3 linked regions of the Tamandua tetradactyla genome follow. The protein of the gene in region 3 interacts with the protein of the main gene of each other region in a pairwise test. Links are inferred from orthologs where the notes say so. Each region holds a gene or a part of one and is shown on either strand. Other genes may lie near its edges. The genes, in order: SH2D3C, SORBS2 and EFS.

Region 1 (7,579 bases), on a different chromosome or scaffold from region 3:
CTGCAGGGCGGCTTCATAGGTTTTACCCCTCACTGCCTGGCCTTGAGGCCTTCTCATGAGAAAAGGCAGGAACGGGTTTGGTGATCGTGGTGTCCCAAGAGGCCTGTTCTGCGCAGATCCCTGCCAGGGAGAGCCTTGAGAGTCAGGCTGAGGAGCCGGGTGTCCTCTCCTGAGGGTAACGTGGAGCTGGTGAGAATTTTTGATAAGAAGTGAGCTGGGGTCAGCTTCTTGGGCACACTGTTAGAAGCAGGGAGACCCTTGGCCAAATCAGGTGCAAGAGGGCAGAGAGGAAGATAATAGTTATAGTAATTACCATTTATTGAGGAAAAATAAATGTGCTAAGCCCTATACTTAAGGGAATTATCTCAATTCTCCCTGAATCTTATGAGGTACCTACTATTATCCAGCCTGGTGTACACATAAGGACACTGAGACTCAGAGGTGATGTCACCTGGCCAGGGTCAAATAGCTGGCCAGTGGCCTAGCTGGCATTTGAGCCAGGTTGGCATAAAGCCAAGCTCTTGCCCATGTCATGGTCTGCCCTTCTGGGCTGGGGGCAGAACTAGGGATGTGGACTGGATGCTGGATGGGAGGTGTGTGAGGACATAGTAGCAATACTATGAGGTCTGTCATGGGTCTATGTGGCCTCCACCATCAGGCCCTCAGGCTGGGACCTGCTGTCTCTTTCACACGAGCAATCCCATAAGTCACATCCTGTGGGCAGAAGCCTCAGCAGAGGTTCCGGTGGTGTTGTCACCTCTACTCCACCATCTGTGACCTGAACTTTCACATCTGCCAGTCACTTCCCTCAGGCTGTGGGCCCTGCCTGGAGAAGGAAGGCAGGCAGGGCATTGGGAGCCCTTCAGAAGGCTGCCCGGGCTTGGGGCCAGACATCACCAGAGCTGCCAAAACCCAAGTGAAGGTGAGAAGAAATTAGCAAGAAACAATTTCTAGACTTTGATTTCAATTTTGCTGGTCTGAGGAAAGTGTTTCCTGTATCCCAGGTATTCACTAAGCAGGCAAAGTGGGGCACGTGACTGGTAGTCAGTAAATGTCTGCTGAGTGACTGTCTGATCAGGCCCTGGGAACTCTGGTCCTGCTACCCATTTTATAGTTAGGGAAACTGACACATTAAGCAGGAAGAGAGTCACTGCTCAGCTGTTTGACCCTAGCCTGAACCCTTTTCCCACCCCTGAGCAGGGATGGGTAATGGGCATGTGGAGGGGAAGGAGAAGACAGATTCTTTGGGTAGGTTGCTCTTTGCATCTGGCACATCCAGAAAGACAAAGGATCTCTGGGGAGGGGGATAGAGGAGAGAAAACATCTGTGTGATGCCCACGGTCTTGTCAAACCATGGAAGTTTTGCCCTTACTGGCTGGGAACTAACTCTGCCTGGCCCTGTATTGACAGGCATCACCCTCCTGAAACTTTATAGCACCCCTCTTAGGAGGTATGATAATCAAGGCCAGGTTATATAAGAAGAAACAGGCTCAGAGATGTGAAATGACCTGCCCAAGGACACACAGCTAGGAAGCAATTGAGCTGGAATCCAAAGCCAGATGTCTTTTCTCTCAAAGCCTAGAGTGATTAACCATCATCCTACATTGCCCCCATTACCAGTCAATGGGGTCAACCCAGGGAAAAGCATCTATTGAGCACCTACAGTTTAGCAGGCATGGGGCCAATAAGTATGGGTAAGACCCATTCCTCTCTCAGGGAGCTTAAGGTCTGTTTGGAACATGCAAATAAAGACACACGTGGATGTAATAAGGATGATGATCTTGGTATAAATGTTTTATTTCACGGTCATACGAGAAACATCATATTTGCTCCATTTTAATGATGGGAAAAAGTGGCTCAGAACGGTGACATAACTTGCCCAAGGTCACCAAGGTGGGGACTGAACTTAGGTTTGCCTCAGTCCAGTACCTTTGATTATAACATTTAAGGCCTCCAATCCCTAATTGTCCCTGGCCAAGCTACAGGCTATTGGGTCATAGACTGGGGAAGAGGTGGCAGGAGTGAGGGACAGGAACCAGAGCAGGTTCTTGGGGGCACTGTAGCTAAAGATGGCCTTAGAGGTACTGGAAGGAGGCAAAAGATTGAACCAGTGGCAACAAGAGCAGCATTCGGGTGGGGCTTCCAGCCTAAGCAAAAGCCTGCAGGCGGGAAAGCTGCAGAGTGTGGGCTGGGCCGGGCTGGCCTCCAGCACAGGCTGAGAAGAGCCTGTGGGACAACCACCCGCCAGCAGGTCCCCAGCCGTGCTCCCAACGGCCACTCAAGGCAGTACAAAGAGGGGTCTGAGCTCGGCAGAGCTGCCACACTGAGCCCCATTCATCCTCCTAGAGATGTCGGCCACTGCCCTGGTGCCTGGGCCAACGGCAGGCCCAGACCCAGCACTGACAAGGCGCCTCTGCCACAGCAACGAGCCCCAGCCAGCCCCACAGCCTCCCAGTGGCCAGGACTCCTGGGTCTCACACCATGCATCTGCTGCCAGGGTTTTCCTGGCCTATGCCAGCCAGTCCCTTGTCGGAATTCTCGCATCCCTCAGCAACAACAGCCAGTCCTTGCCAAGGCCTGTGGCATGCTGGCCTTGAATGCTCCTAAGAACCCCAGGAGATGGGCCCTATAGAGGCCCCATTTCACAGATGAGGAAACTGAGAGCCAGAGAGGTAAAGTCTCCTGTGCAGGATCACACAGCAAGCCAGACTGGTTGATGGTACAGCTCCGACAGTTACTCCAAGTTACGCTAGAGTTGCCTCTGGGAAGAGTAGCTGAGAGATTTTACCTTTTATCTTCTGCTAGGAAGACCCTCGGCTCTGGTCAGGCTACTGGACCTTCTGAACAACCACCCAGATATGGGAGGGGCATTGGCCTGAGTGTCTGTACCGGGAGGCAGATGCCAGGGTCTACTTCACAAGCCTGTTGTGTGGATTTAAATGGATGATTATGGAGGCTTCCAACCACGTACCTGGCATACTCAGCACTCAGCAGAAGCAGCTGGGGTTGCACCACTCTTCTCCCAAACCCATGGCCCAGAAACCCTGTCCTTTCCAGTGGACCTTGACAGCTAGTCAGTTGACCAGGACCCTGCTGCCTTGGTCTCTGGGGCTGCATCCCTTTCCCTCTCAGGGCCTCGGGTTCCCATTCACACCATCAAGAAGATTCAGCCAGCCCCTCCTCCCACCAAAGCCAGTCGTCCAACTGCGGGTGGGGGCGGGGGCGACCATGGACGTGGCAGCTAGGAGCGCTACAGCCTCACCACTCAGGGGCTGTGGGAGTGTGGACAAGTGACGTGATTTTTCAGGGCTTAAGTTTCCACATCTGCAGAATGGGGACAATAGCAATAACATACACCTCTTAGGGCAGAAGAACTGAGCCCGGTGACCGGATTGTAGTAAGTGATGAGACATGAGTTGTCATTATGTTTATGAAGGATGGGGGAATCAGTCCCCTCTGACCTCAGATTCCCTCCTCCTCTCACAGTTCCAGTTGCCAGCCTGGGTGCCGGCGTAATAATGTAAAACAACGCCGGCGCCTCTGTGGGTTCACTGCATGCCATGCATTTGTCCCCATTCTAGACATTTGGTGACCAAGGCTTGAGAGGCAGAAATAACTTGTCAGCAGCACACAGAGCTGAGCTTTGAAGCCCCTGGTCTTGCTGCCCGCAAACCCTGGCAGCTACTGATCATCTCTGCAGGTCTCAGGAACAACCTGTGGAAGGGGAGGATGCATTTCCTTATCTCTGCCCTGCCCACGTGAGCCTGCCCATATACACAACAGAAGGTTGTAGGGTGTGAAAAGCACCAGGCTCTGAGTTAAGGGACCTGGAAGGATGAGTTATAACCCAACCTGTGCCAGGCCAGGCAATCCCTCCGCCTGCCTGTGTCTCTGTTTCTCCATCTCTGTATAATGGGCATTGTGAAGCAATATTCACAATGTCCTTGCTAGCTTGAAAACAAGTAACCATACCTTGTTGGGCATCAATTCTGTGCCAGGCTCTGCACCGAGCACTGGACCTTTGAGGGGCACTACAAGCCCCCCCCCCTGCCCCTTACAGAGAGGAACCTGAGTCCCCCGGGAGGTAAGTTCCCAGTACCAGATCACACACTGTGGCCAGCCAAGAGTGGAACTTGGGTCTTAGCGGTCCCAGAGCTCACAGGCCTAACTACAGCACTCTCCTACCTACTGGGTACAGTACATCCCTGAGGCACTGAAGTGGACACCCAGACCTGACTCCCCCGTGCCCTCATACCACCACCAGACCCCCTGACAGCTGTTGGAAGCCCCCCACCCCCACCCCCAGCGGCCCTGGGCCCACTGGGCTCTGTTCCCAGAGCCTGTGGTTTTGTTCCCCAGACCTTCCAGGTCCCATGGGTTTGTACTCTCCCCCCTGCCCCCACTATGAGGCCAAGAGGCAGCCCACAGGGGCCAGGACTGGGGGAGGCCGCCGCCCCCGCCCCTTGTGGAGAGGGTGGGGAGGGTGGGGCTGTGGGAGTTTCACTGGTTTAAAAATACACAGAGGAAGCGAGTGAGAGGACTCGAGAAAGGGGAAGGGGAGGTAGGGAGGCACTTCAATATTAATGTACAGAGCCTGGAGTGGCCACTCACCGGCTGGCTGGGGATTCTGTACCGCTCACCAAGATGACGGAGGGGCCCAAGAAAGCCAGCAGAAAGTTCAGTGAGTGTGGGGTTGCCGCTCGGGCTGCCTTCCATCTCTCTGTCTGTCCATCTCCGTCTCTGTCTCTGCTGTTTTTTTTTTTTTGCTCACTGTCTTGTTTTTGTTTCTCTTTCTTCATGCACCCCTGTCTCTCTCCAGAGGTCTCTGCTTCTGAGTCCCTGTGTCACCCAGCACCTCTCTCTCTTTCTGCCCCCAGCCAATTGGCTCCCCATCTCTGTGCTTCTCCCTTTGTCCATCTCTGTTTCTCTGTTTCACATCACCCTGCTGCTCTGTCCCCCTATTTGTCTGTATCTCTGTCTGTCTCTGGCTTTCTGACCTCATGACTGGGCGAGGGGAGACCCCCATGCCCCTCCCCTAGGCCTGGGTCTGTGTGGGATCTCAGGACTGCAGTTACTGGGTGGGGGTGTATCATGGGATGCTGCCCCATGCTCCCAGCAGCAGTAAGGCTGGAGCCCAGCACTCTGGCAGGGTAAGAGCCCACAGCTACTAGAACCAGGCTCCTGGGCGAGGGGCCAGACCTGCTTCCCCTGCTTCTCTAGGTTGGTCCCATTGTGCAGTCACGCCTCTGATTCCTATGATCTGACAGCATCAGGGCGGGAGGTGGAGAAGCGGTGTACAGGGCAAGGGCTATGGCTCCGTTCCACAGATGGGAGTAATGAGGCCCAAAGAGGACCCTAGACTAGCCCAAGATCATACAGGACCATAGAGCAGACTGAATCCTGGACCCTGGACCCTGAGACTTAGTTTCACTTCCTGTCCCGACTATTGTCCCCAGAAACTTAGTGGCCAAGAGACAAAGCAAGTGGTGCTGAGGGAAGAGGCGGTTGATGGTCCTTCTCCTGGCCATTGGCACAATTTCTGCCCCATGGTACAGCTGAGCGCAGGGCGTCAGAATCTCCTAACAGCATTTCTCAAGAGGCAGAGGCTAAGACCAGGTAGGTGGCTGGCAGGGCAGTGAGGGAAGCCCGGGAGCACTAGCCCAGGAGTCCAGAACCCTGGCTTCTAGTGTAGGCTCAGCCAATGCCTTGCTGTGTGACCCTGAGCAAGTCCCTTTCGGTCTCTGGGCCTCAGTTTCCTGGGGGCATCCTACCTATATCTCAAGATGGTTGTGAGGACATGAGGAGGCAAAGGATTCTGAGGAAGTAGAAAACGCCAGGGTTTTCCTCCTCGTTCATGTGGGTGATAGAGTAGTCTGATGGTGGTGGCTGCCAGAAGGGACAGTCCAGTAGTTGGGGGCAGGGAGAAAGGAACTCACACACACACCCCTGCGGAAGTGAGGAGATGGTATCACCCGAGCACTGCAGCCTGAGTCAGGAATGTGGGCTCAGCTGACAGGAAGGAGAAAACCACAGACAGTGAGACCCTCAGGTTCCTGACACCTCCTTCTCATTTCATCCCCACCCCAGGTACATGAAGGATGGCTCAATCCCCATCCCCACCCCATACCAGCTGTCTGACTTCGGGAAGTTAATTTCAGTGCTCTGAACTTGTCTCCTCATCTGAAAAATGGGGAATTGAACTTGTGTTTGTCATTGAGTTGTGCTGAGAATTCAATGGGATAAAGCTTGCAGCATACTTGACAAATGTAGAGGCATTCATCATAATATTCATAATAATTAGCACCATCATCATCATCACAAGTTGATACTTTGCTACTTCTTATTAAGGCTATTTTGCATGCCAGGCATCCTGCTAAGCATATTATTTACATACTTTCCTTCAATCCCCTCACTGCCTGTAGAAGATAGGTACTATAATTCCTGTTTTACTGAGCTGGAGAATGTAGCTCAGAGAGGTCAAGTGACTTGCCTAGATCACACAGCTAGGATGTGGTAGAGCAGGGCCTCCAGCCCAGGGGGCTTTGTGACCACAAAGCCACCATGTTTTATCACTTTCTGGGAGTGTGATAACAATTGGAGAGGGTGTTATGAAGCCCCCAACTCTCCTTGGGCCTTTAGTGAGTGGAACTGCAGGTATTTTTAAAATTATTATTGCTGTTGGCATTCACTCCATTCTCCCCCACCCCCCACCCCACCAGAGTTCTTCAAGTTCAAGGGCCTCGGGAGTCTCTCCAACCTCCCTCGGACCTTCACTCTGCGACGGTCCTCAGCCCCTGTCAGCATCCGGTCCCGTCTGGAGCCTGACACCTTCGAGGCCACGCAGGATGACATGGTGACAGTCCCCAAGAGCCCCCCAGCCTATGCCCGCTCCAGCGACATGTACAGCCACATGGGCACCATGCCCCGCTCCAGCACCAAGAGGGCTCGGGACCGACAGGCCAGCCAGGAGGCTCAGGAGATGGACCCTGAGTCCCATGTAGTGCCCCGACGCCTGCCTGATCCCCCAGGCTTGGAAGCAACCAAGGAGGTGGTAGAGGCCAACGCCCCCCTGAAGGACACCCCAGCAGCGGGGTCCAACCCTTCAGCTGTGGAGGTGGACCCCATAAGAAAGCCTGAGGTCCCCAGGGCAGACTTGGAAGAAGAGAGACCTCCCAAGGATATGCCCCCAGAGAGGTAGGTGTCTACCAAGGGCAGGTGAGTGCAGCACCTGCTGAAACAGTAACTCCAGCCTCCTGCCAGTATAGCCCCAGGGAGGGCCCCCTTCCCACCCACAATCCTGCACACTACCCAAATGCTTACCATGGACCAGCTGCTGTGCTAAATCTTTCACTTGCAATTAATTCTCAAAAATCTCAGTGAGGTAATACTATTATTATCTCCATAGCGAGATGAGGAAACTGAGACTCCAGAAAGGAAAGTCATCTGTCCCAGGCTGCACTTGAACTGAAGCCCAGGTAGCATTTGAACTGAAGCCCACCTGACCCCAAAGCCCTAGACGGCCCCCAGCCTGGGTCCTTAGTTGCTCTTTGGGCACTGCAGCCCTGCCCAGGACCCCCAC
Region 2 (7,998 bases), on a different chromosome or scaffold from region 3:
TTGGGAGAACAAACAAAAGGCATACTGTCAAGCGGACAGACCTGGACAAAATGTTACTGTTTGTTCTTCACGAGCACCGGGGTATATTTAAGCAAAGAAAGACATTCCAGCACTCTCCTGAGACTTCCTTCCTTCAGCTGAATTATACCAACATGTTCACGCTGCTGTGGTTCAGCTGTGTTGGAATTTAAAATGCAGACTTCTATTTGCCCATGCTTAAATGCCAAGGCTATAAACATTCATATTAGGCTTGAAACTGGCTTTTAGGTAGCATAGAACAAGTGGGAGTGTGTCCAAAAAAAACGTGGGTACGTTAAGTTGCAGTAGAATACTTGCAAAAAGGGACTGCCCTTGTTGGACAGACTCTATGCCTATACAATAAAGTCTCAAAGTCTCCAGAAGTCACCTGGCTTTGGATTAGGTTTCAAATCCGGGCTCACTGACATTCATGAAACTTTTGGCAAACACGGGCCAAGTTTCGGGCAAGGGCGGGCAGAATACTTCTTTCATAGGGAGGCTGTGTGAAACCCGGTGGCTTTCGTTAGGTTTCACCTTGAGTTTCACATTCAAACAATCCAAAGTTTCAAGGTAAAATTAAGGGATGAAAAGAAATGGGGGGGTGGGAGTGGACAGGAAAGAAATGGCCATCTACCATCTTCCAAACCGATTCCACCCTAGTGCCACCTGACTCTGCAACTGAATTTGCATTACCTTTCAGCAACACATGTGCCCCAAGCACTTGCCAGAGGAGGAATTCCCAGTACTACAGTAGGGTGGGGTTGGGGCGCGGGGGAACTCTTGGAGATTCCCAAAGGCTTGGGAACATTAAGAAACATGCTTAAAATAGCTGGAGGATATGAAATGATGACTGCACACAGAAATAGGATGATTCATATGCTCCTTTTAATGTGGATTTGAAGGGGAAAAAGTAGTAATTAAATGGCCAATGTTGGGAATAAACTATTAGCCTGAATAGCTCTAGGTTTTCTTACTCTTAATCGGAATCCTTACAGATGAAGTCGCATCTTCTCCTAATCTGGAGGAGCTCTCCAAGTGTTTTCCATTGCTCTGCCCTTTTGAAAATTGTCCTGCTGCCACTTGCTTCTTTCCTTCCTAGCAAGGCGGTCTCAGCCTTTAGGGAGCCACAGCCCTTGACTAGTGCTTAAAAAGTCTCCTGATGGGATTAAGTTCATTCTATTCCTAACCCTCAACTCAACATGCAGGGACAGTTGGCCAAGGAATATCAACCTTGGTATCTGACTGAGGGCTTTAGAAATACTCTGTGCTTGGGATAGGGAAGAAAAGGCAAAAAACTTAAATGCAGTATATACATGAATTTTCTTTGAAATGAAGAGGACATTTAAACATCGACAGAATGCCTAGATGGTATTACATTTTGCTATTTTAGGAAATACTTTTGTTTTTCCATCCCCTTACCCTCATACAACAGACGTTCCACCAGTTGTATGAGTTTTTCTCTTTAGTTGTCCTTTTTTTAAAATTTAATTTTCTTTTCTCTCTCTTTTCCTTTCTTTTTGTCACCCCAGAGATCGCTGTTTATTTTAAATGCATGTTTTCTTTTGACATGTGGTCTGTGAGACCAACAAATTTTTTCGGAGAGAAAGTCTTTGAATTCCAAGGGTTTCAGTGTTCATGTTAGAATATGCAACAGTTAGGCCTCAAGGCACACAGTAATTTGGGGGTAGCAGAACATTCAAATGAAGGGTTGATAAAATCTCATTCTGTGCACTGTCATTTGCTGCCTGCTTTTAGACATCTGTTTGGTGTGGAGCAGTGAGTTGTTTTAAAGTCTCTTTGGCAAGAGAATCATCTTGCCATAAAACAGTATTTTCCCTTTCATCTGGGGGCAACTATCAGTAAAACTTAAAGTTGTATCAGTAAGCAGTGAGGAAAACCAAAACCCCAACAAATAATTTAAAGGAAATACTATCAAAGCACTAACCTCCTCCCCACTAAATAAAAAGACTTTTTTACTGAACATAGTAAATACCCACAATCAAAGTAAATGCTGTGTTTGAAGTTAAAGTCCACAGATCAAAGTCCTTCGCAAAATGTCAAAGCACAAGTGTAATGAAGGGGAAAGAGGAGGCACAGAAAACGTTGGAAAATGTCATATTGTCACATTAGAGAAACCTGCCTGCGAACCTAACTGGCAAAAGAAATGCAGCTTAGATAAGGAATTCTTAAAACAGAGACACCTAAATTATGCTAGGCATATACCAAACAGAAAGTGCTCTAATTCCAAAATAGCAATTCACACAACAGTGACGATAAAAGAGAACAAAATATAATACAGCTATCTGGTCCTGAGAGAACAATCACTCCTATATTTCCTTTACTCAGGTGGTTGTATGTTTTTATTTTTTCAAATGCCTTTAGAACATTAAAAATCAGTAAGCAGCCTAAACAACAAAACGATGTCTGAAAAGCCCTCTTACTACCCTGGCACTCAGGTGTCATTAGAGTTTTGATCCTTTGCTGGGTCACAGTCACGTCTGCATGGCAGGTCAATATCATGAAAAACTTTAAGCAAAGTTTAGTTACAGCTACAAAAGTCCACAGATGCTGTTCCTATATTCAGGCATACAGTGTTCACCTGGAAATCGATGGCAGCCCCGGGCTTATTTTCAGCCTAAATAAGTTATTTAAAAACATGTGTCACAAATATACCATAAACCAATGAAAGAATTCCAGCATAAAACTCTTACCTACAAGCAGCTGGAGCTGAACAGTTGCTCTCAACAGAGGAAGTAGGAGTCACTGGCCTTTTACATGTAGAGATTGTTTATTTAGCCCTTTTTAAAAGGTCTTGAACTCCAAAGGTTTAAGATTAAGTCCGATCCAAGTGTCTGAAGGGAAAAAAAGGCAAGAGAGAAGGCAAATAAGAGGGGGAGAGAATCCCAGCTGCTGGGTGGTGCTACTGTTCCGAGAGCATTTAAGCTATTTTCAGCATTAACAGCAGCCGGACTTGTCTGTGAAGGGATGAAAATGCGGTGCCGGCCCAATAGCCTCTCCACCCACCCCAACCCCCTGGAGCGGGGAGGTACAAACCAGGAAACCCACAACAACTTGGTTCATTGTGCAAATATTCATTTAAATTTTGAGGAAAAGTGCCAGCACTATTGGGAAAAAAAGAAAAAAAAACTTTACCGGAATCTTAAAGAAACACAGCTCCTTGCCATAATGCCAAGTTTTGCAAAAATGATTTACCTGATTCATGGAAAAGAAGATGCTATAGTTATACCTTATTGAGAGTGAAGACCTTTCTTCTGATATGTATTTGCTTGTTTATATGGGTTTTAAAAACATTTTAAGTCTCTCTGGTTGGAATGGCCATTGTCAGCCTGTTCTTCTTAAGACTGAAGACAAATGGTTTATTTCTAGCACTCAGCTAAATCTCCAGTTTCATCAACTACGCTATTTTTGAAAGCTACTAGGTTAAGCTGTTGACATTTCTTATCGTGCTGGCAGAGGCTGGGGACCACTCTGTGACACGATGCTGACAGAACTGATCTCCAGTCTGCCTCCAAAGGCCAATGAAGAACTAATTTAGATTGGGTCACCAACTCTGGCCAGAAAACTCTGAGCTTTAATTTTGTTTTTAGAATGAAAAAATAAAGATCCAGAAGTTGAATGCATTCATTCATTCATCCAGCAAATATTTATGTGGTGGGCACGGCTGTCCTTATTATAAGCCAGGCATTTTGAAAATACAATAGTGAGCAAACAGCTTTTTTTTTTTTGCCTCTGGAGGTTTACAGCACACAAACACAACAAGAATAAAAAATGAAAAACAGGGTTTCCTTTTTTTTTGACAAACTTTCGCAACCTCATGTTCACAAGATGAGACTATTCAAACCCTTGTACAGGAAGATCCGATGTGTCATCAGAGCGATTCCTACCTTCCATGACTTCATTATGCCTTTGAGAACACCACTAAGAAGGAAAATTAGTTATTTCCTACCAAAGAATCACTTAATATTTTTGATAAAGGCATTTATTCCATGCAGATAAAAATCTCTGAATCATTTCAATTCCCTAATCCTCATAACAAGAGGATGATGTTTAAGGCAGTTCAAAGCATGGCTGAGGAAGTGAAACATTCTCTAATCTAAATCCAATATAAAAACTGCCTTGAAATATTTTATAATCATTATTATGGAGGCTAGTTACTGGATGCTCATATTGACTCTACTTTCTTCCTTGCAATTTCAGAAAGATACTGGAGTTGAATATAGAAAATATTGAGGATTACACATGACATGTAAAAGGGTTACATGACTATTTCAAGTACTGTAGTAAAATAGTGAAATCTTTCAACCCAATACACCTTATATTAAAACCATGCAGCTATTTAAATATATATATATATATAAAACGATAGCGTAACTTTGAAATACCCAATCAAATTTTAAAGTAAATCTGCTTTACCTAAAAAAAAATGCTTATTTTTTAAAAAGTCACTGTAGTATTATGCAATAGTCTGTTCATTTACCTTTCTTTCCTTTTTTTTTTTTTAACATGGGCAGGCACCGGAAATCGAACCCAGCTCTCCAGCATGGCAGGAGACAACTCTGCCTGCTGAGCCACCGTGGCCTGCCCTGTTCACTTGCTTTTAATAGTTGCATTTTAATTTCTTAAATACCTGCCAGTTTAAAATCTGATATTTATTTTACTTGACCACAATGTTAAATGGTAATACTGCTGGCAAAAATTGGAAAAGTCAAGCATCAGATAGAGAAAAAATTGTTTTTATTTTCACCTCCTTAGAATAATTTATAATAAGAAGGAAACACACTTTAAACTTGGCCTTCCTTAAGAAACTAGTTAACTAAACAAAGATTAACTATTTGATTACTAAGTCAACCATTATTTTTAAATTCTTAACTGCCAGCTTCTCACATCATTCCTAAAGGGAAGCCCATTTGCCTCACATTACCTTTTTAAATCATAGTCTGTCAAAGTCTGCACTTGCAAGGACAGGTTATAAGCCTGACATTTGTGTTCACTTAGGAGGAATCCTCTCCTGCCGGGTGACTCACTGAGGTCTCCTTTGTTCCCTTAGGATCCCAGACTGTCCAGGCAGCCTGTAAATAAGCCCCTTTCAACAGATGTCACTGAAGGGTGCAGGTTGGACTTTAGAAAATTAAAGGACACTAAATTTTGACTCTTGCTACTTTCCCAATTCCTGTAACTTCTTATCTTATAAGCTATTGATATCTTAATAATTGTAACTCATGGTAATGATTTTGTTAATATTCTTTTTATTAAAAACAAATAAATTGATTCAAATTAATTAGGAAATGCTGATATACATATTTTAAAATTTTCATTTATTTATTGATTTTTAACTTTTTCTCTCGTATAGTACAATATATATAGAAAGCAAAGAAACAAAAAAGCAACAGTTTTTTTTTTTCAAGGTCAGGAATTGGGAACATTTAATTAACAAAATACCTGCCATCTATTTTCAAAACCCATTCTGTTCTATCAGTCACAAAGCCAAATGGTGCAGAGGGCAGGAAATATATGTAAGATTTGCAATACTGTACCCTGCATTGTCATTGAGCTATATTATACAAAGATCTTCCAGTTTGATTGTGGGAAAACATGCAAAACAAATGAAGACAAAGCACATTTTATACCATTCATCTAGCTTATGTTAAATGACAAGCTGTTTGCACAAATGTCCATCAGATGAGAATATAGGCTGTTGTACTGAAGTAAAATGAGCAATACCTGAATGTTTTGTAGTCTAAACTCCACACATCTCTTCCATATCTGTTGACCAGGCAAACTGCACCAGTTGCTGCTTCAATTTATACCTCAATCTTTACTGTGTCCAGTTGGTATTTTGGCTTATTGGCTAAATTAACCTTCTCTGTCCGAGTGTGCCACACGAGAACCTTGGTGCAGTTATAAAGTAGCAGTTTTCAAAGCACTCCTCAACATGCAGCCACAGGACAGATCCAAGAGTCCACCATGGGCTACCACATGATCCTCCCAAAATGCTGATATTGGAGTGGGTTTCTAATATTACTGACAGATTGGAAATATGGCTTTGGCACAACCCCACCCCCATAGAAGATGGGGATAATAATAAGGTTGCAGTGGGGCTTAAACCATGCATGTAAAATGCCTAGCTGAGTAATGCCTGCCACATACAAGCACTGGATAAATTTGAATTTTTATCACTATTGTAAGTCTAGAACTCTGCTGGCCAATACGTGGCTATCTGTGTGTTGAGCATTTAACAATGTGCCTAGTCAGAACATAGAGGCACGTAAGTGTAATAATACGCACAATGAATTTTGAAGACAGTATGGAAAAGGAAACGTGAATAATCACATTAATTTTTTTTTTTTTTGCATGGGCAGGCTCCGGGAATCGAACCCAGGTCTCCGGCTTGGCAGGCAAGAATTTTGCCACTGAGCCACCATTGCACCGCCCCACATTAATTTTTAAAGATTAACTACCTGTTGAAATAATAATACTTTGGACATTCTGAGTTAAAATATTTTATGAGGAGTAATGTTAAAAAATTTAATACCACTCATTTCTTTTAAATGGCACTACTAGAAGATGTAAATACATGTGTATGGTTTGCGTTACATTTCTTTTGGGCAGCTATGTAAGCCAAAGACTCTGCAACCTTAGTGACATCGGAGTGACCTGGAGGTCTGTAGAAGCACAGGTTGCTGGGTCCCACCTCCTGGGTTTCTGATTCAGTAGGTCTGGAGACTTGAGTGGCTTGAAAATGTGCATTTCTAGCAAGTTCCCAGGAGATGCTTGAGCACACTTGGAGAACCATTAGTCTTAAGCCTTGTTGCTTAAGGCTTAAGTGTTTCACAGAGCAACATTAATGGCACCTGGGGTCCTGTTAGAAATGCAGAATCCTGAGGCCCCACCTGGACCTAATGAATCAGTAGCTGCATTTTAACAAGACTCCCAGGCTATGCGTCTGCACATGACAATTTTGGAGAAACGGAAACCAGCATCTTTCAACTCTGGTACGTAAGAGAATCATCTGGAGAACAAAAAAGACCAGTACGTTGGGCCTACCCATGGAGATTTTGATTTAATAGATCTGGAGGAGATCCAAGCATTTGCATATTTAAAAGTTTCCCCAGGTGATTCTAAGATAAAAGCAAGAGCTGACAGTTTGATGGCAGTGAGGCAGAACCGATACAGAAGAAACAGGGTCTGGAAACCAGACACACTCCTTCTAGTGAGGGTCAGACGCTTGGGGTTTGTCAGGTGCTGGGAGGGCAGGACAGGTGCCGGCGGTGGAGATGGTGGAAACCCGCAAGGGGCGATGAATGGGCATTGTAGCCAGCAGGACGTGCGTGGTAGCAGACACTAAAGGTCGTTTGAGGTCTGCCAGTAGGTCCCCAGCTGCTCCAGGTCTGGAGTTTCAGGGAAGGTTGGCTAAAGCAGAGCATAGTCTTGGCACCAGAGGATCCAGAACGTTAGGTAAATTATCTGAGCAGAGACACAGGTTCCAAGGAATCAGACAGAGTCTGGTCCAAGTTAACGGTGAGACCAGCCACCATGTTAACTTCGTCCTAAATTTCCTGAGTTTCTTAAGCTTTCCATAAGAACCATCTAGAGCAGGGATGATCCTTCAGACAGAGATGAAGAAGGAAAAGATGGATGGAAATGTTGAAAGCCAGTTTAGTTGTACACTTCTCTTCTTCAGTTGTACACAACAACAACTGAAACTGTTTTGAGCTAAGCATTGGTCTAATTAAAATATGGTTAAAAAAGACCTTAACCCTCTGGTATTTTCATCACACGAGAAGATCTTCTTGATCCAAATAACAAGGTGGTTGGCTCATGGACGTCCTGTATTGTCAAGGCAAGAGACCTTCTGTTATTTTCCATTATGCATTAGTCCCACCCTAAATAAGTGAGCTCACCAGCTTTGTTTAGTAGCTCCTCTGCATAACCTTGTTAATTTGCCACTTGACTCCTCAG
Region 3 (7,687 bases):
CATGACAAAGCTTAGCATAGTACCAGCTGTAGCTCAATACATATTAGCTATTTTAGGATCATTAGGGTTCTGTGAGTTTGAATTTGATTAGCATATGAACCCTCCTCACCCACCCCGGGGGTAAAAGGAAAAAAACGGAAGTTTTTTGGGGACTACAAAGAATGATAATTCTATGCTTCTCTTTCCAGTTTCACAATCTTTCCCAGAGTCCCTATGCAGAGAGGGCCAGAAAAATGGTGGCAGTCTCACTTTCCCAGGGCCTAGGAAAGGGTGGAGAGGGGACAGAATTGCCTGGATTAAGGCTGCATAGTGTGAAGGGCAGAAAGTAGAGGTGGGGCTCGTGGAGTGCTCCTCCCCGTGCTGGGTTTGAATTCTGTCCAATGGGGCCAAGCCTCTGGGCTTTGGGATTGCAGGAACCCAGGCCAGAGTTGCTGATAGACTGACTGATGATGGGTGGGGTCCACCCTGCTCTATCCCCTCTTCAAGAGCCCAGCTGACGGGTGGGGGAATTGCTGGCTTAATGGAGGTGGCAGTGGGCCATGTGCTCTCTGGAAGGTTTCCTCCCACTCTCCCATCTTGCCAGCTGTCTCCTCCCTTTGTCCCTAGTCCCCGGAAAGTGCCCTAAGGCTGGCTGACATCACCTCCCCCTCCCTCTATTTTCTCTTTCTCATTCTTTTTCTACTTTCTCCCTTTACTCCACCCCTCCTCTAGAGAAGAGATGCCTTGGATCTTTTGGTTTCTCCTGTTTGCGTTGAGCCACCTCATCCCCTCCCAACCTTTTACTAGCGTCCCAATCACAAGCCCTTGACAACCACAAGTGGCCATCTGTTCCCGCCCTAAAAAGAGCAGACAGGACTCTGGTCACTCTTGCCCCCGCCCCTCGCTCCCGAAGCAACCTCTAGGGGAAAAAAAAAGAGAGAGAATGGGGAGAGGGAGAAGAGGAGGAGGGGCAGCCCCAGAGCCAGAGAGAGAAGCAGGGGATGAAAAGTAGAGGGAGAGGGGAACAAAAGTGAGAGGAGGGGAACACAGCTTCTCTGAGAAGAAAGGGACCAAAGAGAAAGACAAAGGGAGGGCTGAAATAAAAGTGACAGGAGGCTCTGGAGGCCCTGCCCGACAGCCTCTTTTCCCTGGTGGACTCACCGACGTGGCTATGGCCATGGCCTCGAACTCCCGCGCCTCCTGCTTCAGACCAAGCTCGGTTTCGCTGACTTCAGCAGCCGCGGCCGGGCTCCATGGTCCACGGCCTCCAGGCGAGGAGGCGGGTCCCGAATGCGGCGCCTGAGTCGTGGCCTCCGCCGAGGTGGGAGGAGGAGAAAGAAAACCCACAAAACTCCCCAAATGGGAGGCAGTCTGGCCCGGCAGGAGGAGGAGCGGGTCCGGCCGGGGCGTCGCTACGGGCCCTCATCCAAGGACGAGCACTCTGCACGGTCGCCGCGGCCTCCCGGGGGCCGCCGGGTTGGCAGGGCCCCCGGAGCTGCCTGCCCTAGGCCGCGGAGGCCCCCGGGGCCCGCATGAACCGATAGCTGCTTTCCACAGTCGGGGCAGGCGAGGAGGCGGGTGCTGGAGCTGCGCTCGACGCTTCCCCAGGCCGCTCGGGGCCGCCCCGAGGGCTGGGAGAGGCCGCCGGGGCGGTTGGGCCGGGCGAGCAAGTTTAGGCGCCAACCCTCTCCACCCGGGGGCCGCGCCGGAGAGCCGTGTTCCCAGGGCTGTGGCCGGGGCGGCTGGAGGGGAAGGAGAGAAAGCGAGAGCTGAGTTGTTTGGCCTTCTTCAAATTTGCCCAAGTTGGCGAAAAGTGGCCGGGCTGACGCCAAAGGCCTCCGAGAGCGTGACCCTTGGGCCGGGTTGCTGCTGTCGGCCCCGACCCTCGCACCCCCAGAAGTGAGGCGCATTCACGCACGCACTGTCACCCTCAGCACGTCCGAGGGCCTTGGGGACGCCGCGACGGCGCCTGGCCTGGGGCTGCGGGGCCTGCCGAAATCGGCTTGCAGGCACGGCTCGCGGAGGCCGCTCGGCCTCACCAACCCTACTGTCCTGGCAGCAGAGAAGCCCGCGCCCCCTCCTCCCCTCGGCTCCAGTGCGCACGGCCACGCGCTCGCGCTCCCACCGTCGGCCCGCCGGCCCGCCGGCCCCGCTCACACGCACCTTTGGGAGAGCCCCTCGGCGCGCCCAGAGCGCGGGGCCGCCCCCAGGTGTCTTTAGGGATGAAGAGAAAGGCCACAAAGCAAAAGAAGCCGCAAAGATAAAGCGAAGGACAGGCAGGAGCCAGGGTCCTGTGGGCTCCCTGAGGGTGGGTTCACTGAGAGGGCCCCAACCCGAAGCAGGCGATGTGGGAGGACTCCGAGGGTCGCGCGTGGTCCCCAGGCTCACCCTCCACCCCACTCGCGGCTCCCCTTTCCTCCCCTCCCCGGGCTCCCGGTTCCCTCTCCGAGCGGTCCTTCCTCCTCCCCTCGGGCCTTCTCCTCCGGCGCTGGGCTCAGTCCTGGGGATTAAGAGAAAGGAGGGAGGGGAAAAGGGAGGAGGAGGGAGGGGGCGGAGGAGAAAGGACTATCCCTTCAAAGGCGGGTGTTGAGTTTCAGCCCGGGACCTTGGGGCCAAACTGCACGCCCCCTCCCGGCCCCTCTGCTCTGTGCCTCCTTCCATCCGACTTCGCCGCGGACCTCCGGGTGGTCTGGTCAGCTTCTTCCGAGAAGCTATTTTCTCCCCGCCACGCCCCCGCCTTCCCCCGCCAGCCCCGCGCGTCTCTCTGCCTCCCTTTCATTAGCCCCACATCTGTCTTTCCCCGAGGGAGGGAGAGCGCCCGCCTTCCGCCTTGCTGGGATCCTCAGCGGAGCCTCTCCCCTCCCTTGGTGCTGCTTCTGTCTGGGTGGCAGGGTTATTCCGGCCGTTTCTGCGGGGAACACACCGGGAGTCTAAGGCTGGACATGGATTCTGGCCCTGGCCAGAGGAGAAGAAGCCTGAGCCCCAGAGCGGCAGGCGGGCCGGTTGTGCAGCCTCTTAAGCAGCCCTGCCAGTCTGGGCCTGCCTCCTTCCGCCGGGCCGCCAGGAGCGGGAGTGGGGACCGTCGGCAAAGAAGGGCAGAACTCTTTCAGAGGGGCTGGGAGTTGGCCTTCCAGGAGTTTCAGCTGAAAGGACGCGGCTCTTTTAACCCCCACACCTTCTTCCCCTCTGTTACTCCTCAATGTGCCCTGCCTCCCGCCAGCCGCTTCCCTCTGGGGTTCTTCCTCCTGGGTAGAGGAAGACCTCCCAGAGGCTTCAGGGAAACTGCTGCTTCCAGTTTTCCTCCCCTGGTATTGGAAAAAGGAGATGCTAAACAGGTTTAAAAGCTATAGTGTATTTTCAGTGTTTACATTTAACAAATTAACGCTGCAAAACACATAAAATGGACAATGACTCTGAATGACCTCATTTGGAGATGACAGCAGAAATGTAAATTTAAGGCTTCTTGTGAACTTGAGGTCTTGGACGAATATTTCCCTCACACCACCTGTTTCACAGGCCCATACATGGAGGCATTTCCCAGGAGGTGGGGAGATACCTGCTTCAGCTCCTTCCCCACCCTATTGCCTGGGCACCTGTGAGGACCAGATTCTGGGGTGAGCGTGGGGATGGATGATGTTAGGTCTATGCTTGGCTTAGAGTTGGGGTGCAGACCTGGGTATGGGGCTGGGAATCCTGGACAGACCCAGACTCTTTTAAGATGATATAAGAACTTTTAAATTTCCAGTTACACCTTGAAGGGAGCACTCCCCCATCCCAGCACCACCCTGATCTGATGTGGCCAACAGGGAAGGGAAGGCTCTTCAACCTCCTCCAGAGCTAGTGCCAGGGGGAGTGGGCTGCCTGGAACATTCCTCTGCTGGAGAGGGACTAGGTGTGGTCCCTACCCATGAGACTGCCAAGGCAAACTGGGCCCGAAGGTCAGGTGGGCAAGAAAGCCTGGTCCCAAAGACGAACACACCGACTGGAATAGGAGAAATAAATGGAAGCCAGGAAAGGCTAAGCGGGAGAGAAGCTGCTAGGACCAGGCAAGACTGGAGGCTTGGGAGATGGGCAGTGATGTAGCCCAGTGCCTGGGGAAATATCGATGAGAATCCTCAGAGGACAAACCAGGAGGAAAATTAGACTGTACTTCTCGAGCCCCTGGGCACAGAATGGAGCCAGATTCATATCCACAGTCAGACGTGGATATGAATCCCAGTTTCTAAGCTATGTGACCTCGATCAAGTCACAGAACAACACAGTCCCCCTCTGTAGCAATGACTCTGGTAAGGAGTAAAATATATCTAGAATGCCTAGCACGGTGATTTCCTTCCATGTCTCTGCCTCTTCTCCTTGGTCCCCCCTCTAACTTGTGCTTATATAGTAGCTGAAAATGTGTTTCCTTGTGAGGACAGGTGGAGCCTTTTCCCTCCTTCATGCCTCATCTCTGCCCTCTCCTTCACAAGCAGAAGTTAAGGTGATAATAGCTCGTTTAGAAAAAACTCTGGACTCTAGGTATGACTGGAGAAAACCCAGGCTGGGTGAGTAGCTAAGTCCGTAGATGGGCTGCAGCCTCAGGCAGCTGGGCCTTCAGATTTGGGGTCTGCCCTTGGCACGTGCATGGGTTAGGAAGGAAGGAACCCCTCCATCCGACTTTCTGGGACACAGTCTTCTCTTCCATTCATTCTCTTTCCCAGTCAAGTCTGACTAACTGGTCTCTTTCTCACCTCCCACCCATGACTTCCTGGACCTGATTTTGTTCCTCTTGCTACCCAAACCTTCTCCGGTGCTCAGGAATTCTTTCCCAACCTCTTCAGTCCTTCTCTCTTTGGATCCCCACAACACCTGGATTGCCTGGGTTCTAATCCTGGTTCCGACTCTGACTGTGTAACCTTGGCAAGTTATGTGGAGCTTTCAGGATTGTGTCTGGAAAATGGGGATAATAATGGAACTTATCACATCAGCTTGTTGTGAGCACTAGGAGTTAGTATTGAACGCTGAGAATAGTACATGGCTTATGATATGTAAGTGTTGGATAAAAGCAGCTATTATGATCATTTAATGCCAGCCCTGTGTGGGTAACAGAATGTCAAGGACACGCTGCCTGTCCTTGAGAAGTTCAAGTCATGTAGGTCATACTTGAATTCAGTCAATACCTTTCCAGTGACCTTGGAATAGACTCTAGATGTTCCACCAGAGCCTGTAAGATCCTGTGTGATCTGGTCCTTGCCCTCTCTTCCCACCACATCTATCCCATTCTCCCCCTTACCCTTGACTTTCCATCCACACTGTCCTTTCTGGTTCTCAAATACACTGAACTCTTTATCACCTCTAGGAATGCATATCCTGCTCCTTCTGCCTAGAACACTCTTTCCCCAGACCCTTTCCATCATCATGTCAAACTTGATATCCTCAGAAAGGTCTTCCCTGGCTTTCCAGGTTAAAGTTGTCCCCTCCCGCACTTCCACTGCAGTAACCCTTTATCTCATAACACCATTTCAACACTTACCACTACCAGAAATTATCTCGTTTCCTTGTTTATCATCTGTCTCCTCCTAAAACAAAAACCACACAAGACAGGGACCTTCTCTGACTTGTCCTCCTCTGCATTCCTAGAATTTAGAAAAGTGCCTGGCATGCAGTAGTACTCCATAGATATTTGGTGAATGGATTAAAGAACAAAACAGCCATGGCTGTAGGGCAAAGCTGAGTAAGCCCAGGGCCCTCCTTGGTGAGGCACCAGCCCTGGCCTGGGGAGAGGGTATTGCCAGGCTCTTTGTGCTGTTCACTCTGACCATCTGTGTCATCTCCCAGGCCAAACTGGGTTCTCCTTGAAGGCAGGTTCCTGAACCTAAGCATCTTTGGTGCCAAAGGTGACATTCAAAATATTTAGCAACCAGTACCATGATCACATACCAAACAGGATGAGGTTCAAGGAGCAAGCTGTACCAGTTGCTCACCTTTTAGTTATTGCATCACAGGGAGGTTTTGGCAAGGAGATGTCCCAGGAGGCTGAGGCCAGCATCTTTTTACCAACAGGTGCAAAAGTATTTCAACATTTTAGCAATCAGTGCCAAGTTTCACATAAGATGGGTACAGACGGGCCTCAATAGAGCCTGCTGAGTCTTGTGGCTTTCAGCATTATTTCAGGAGCTGAGGTCCACAGCAGCTCAGCTGGTTGGCTCCTTTGTGCCCTTCTGGTCACTCCTCTCCCCTAACCACCCTCCACCCCCATCCCCCGATGCTTTTACAGATGAAGAAGAAGGACCAGATGGGGCCCAACACCAAGAGCTGGTCAGAGGCAGAGTCAGGGCATCAAGGCAGCAGATGAGGAATTGCGTGTCCTTTGGGGAAGGGGCAAGGCTATTATTTCCAAGAGCCTTTTCCAGGCCAAGGGTGGGAGGTATATTCCATCATGTCCTCCCTGCCCTTTCCTGCTAGGCACTGATCTCTTTCCTCAGGGCGGTGGAGCTGGGAATACTAGCAAGCCCTCTCTGCTGCCAAGTCAGTTCCAGGTAGGTGGGGACATGCTGGGAGGGGACCCTTGATGTCAGACGCTGGCACACTTTGCTTTGCACCTGCCTCCAGCATTCTACTCGCTGCCACTTTTGTCTCCTACGTCCCCAAGCATTCCCTGGAATTTGAAGTGACTCAGGAATTCCAAAACCAGTCACCCCAGGAGGAAAACCCTCTGGAAAATGTTTCTCATGGCAGGTTTCCCACAAAGCTGCTATCGAGATAAGGGCAGAGGCTGAGCAAATGGGGTGAGGTAGGGACATGTGGCCCAGAGCACAGGTTCTGGGGTCATGCCTGGTCTTCAAGAAGGGCCTGGTACAGAGGTGGGGGACACTCCAGAGGCTACTTCTGAAGGGCAGTGTCCCCAGCAACCCAGTCTGTGTCCTTTTAGCACTGTCAGCAAGTGAAATAAGTAGCCAGGATCACTTCCAGCTCTTTCGAGCACCCTCTCCTAGCTGGAGGCCAAGACTGGGAGATCTGGGTCAAGGTCAGGCTCCAATTCTGCTTCCGATTGGTTTGGGTTCCTGCTCTTCTGAAATAGCACTGCCCCCTAAGGTCTGTTCTGGCGTTGGTGGCTGCTCAGGAATACCAGAAGCCACCCTGGGGACCGTACCTCAGACACTGGGGAGCGGGAAGCTGGAGAAGGGAATCCCAGCTTCCAGGATTGAACGCCTAAGGGGGCAGGAATGCCCGATGGCCTCGGGCAGGTTCAGATGAGTAGCAAAGCATTTGCTGCAGGGGCTCCCCTTCCATTCATAGCCAACCATGGGGCAGCACAGTGTGACATTCCCAAGCCAGGAGCTTATACTTGGGATTGATTAGGGCTGGAACTAAAAACCATCCCTGTCTTTTCCTAACTGTGTGAACTTGGGGAGGTTTCTGAATTTCTTTGGGTCTCGGCTTCCTCATTTGCACTATGGGGCTAACAGTTTCCTTCTCATGGCTTTATTGTAAGGATTAATGAGATGATCCATGTACAGGGCTTGGCACTCCTGGCACTTGGAGGTGTATGAGAGCCGAGGCCAGCAGTTCATGGCAAAGAGAGGATAACTGGGAGCCCAGGGGACAGGGGATGGGGCAAAGGGAGCAGGCTGTTGATATTCCTGGTCTCACTGCTCTTCCTAAGTGCCCCTGCTCTCCCAGCCATCACCTGTTTCACCCAAGCACCTCTACCTCCTGGCATGCAGTTTCA

What was found.
Region 1: the proteins of EFS (region 3) and SH2D3C interact in a two-hybrid assay, tested with the Homo sapiens proteins (2 studies listed by BioGRID and IntAct). The two-hybrid records come from large-scale screens. The link is inferred for Tamandua tetradactyla from reciprocal best matches to the Homo sapiens genes EFS and SH2D3C.
Region 2: the proteins of EFS (region 3) and SORBS2 interact in binary tests that used the Homo sapiens proteins (3 or more experiments, as listed by UniProt). The two-hybrid records come from large-scale screens. The link is inferred for Tamandua tetradactyla from reciprocal best matches to the Homo sapiens genes EFS and SORBS2.

The regions. Positions count from the first base shown.
Region 1 is NC_135328.1:50,623,065-50,630,643, reverse strand, and holds the start of SH2D3C (SH2 domain-containing protein 3C), read left to right. Parts: upstream 1-4,533; 5' UTR 4,534-4,644; coding exon of another isoform or gene 4,645-4,681; intron 4,682-5,456; 5' UTR 5,457-5,546; coding exon 5,547-5,616; intron 5,617-6,719; coding exon 6,720-7,194; intron 7,195-7,579. UniProt on the Homo sapiens protein: Acts as an adapter protein that mediates cell signaling pathways involved in cellular functions such as cell adhesion and migration, tissue organization, and the regulation of the immune response.
Region 2 is NC_135352.1:26,657,245-26,665,242, reverse strand, and holds the start of SORBS2 (sorbin and SH3 domain-containing protein 2), read right to left. Parts: upstream 3,066-7,998; 5' UTR 2,730-3,065; intron 1-2,729. UniProt on the Homo sapiens protein: Adapter protein that plays a role in the assembling of signaling complexes, being a link between ABL kinases and actin cytoskeleton. Can form complex with ABL1 and CBL, thus promoting ubiquitination and degradation of ABL1.
Region 3 is NC_135340.1:31,523,306-31,530,992, reverse strand, and holds the start of EFS (embryonal Fyn-associated substrate), read right to left. Parts: upstream 3,021-7,687; 5' UTR 2,368-3,020; exon of another isoform or gene 2,143-2,367; intron 1,722-2,142; 5' UTR 1,159-1,721; coding exon 1,141-1,158; intron 1-1,140. UniProt on the Homo sapiens protein: Docking protein which plays a central coordinating role for tyrosine-kinase-based signaling related to cell adhesion. May serve as an activator of SRC and a downstream effector. Interacts with the SH3 domain of FYN and with CRK, SRC, and YES.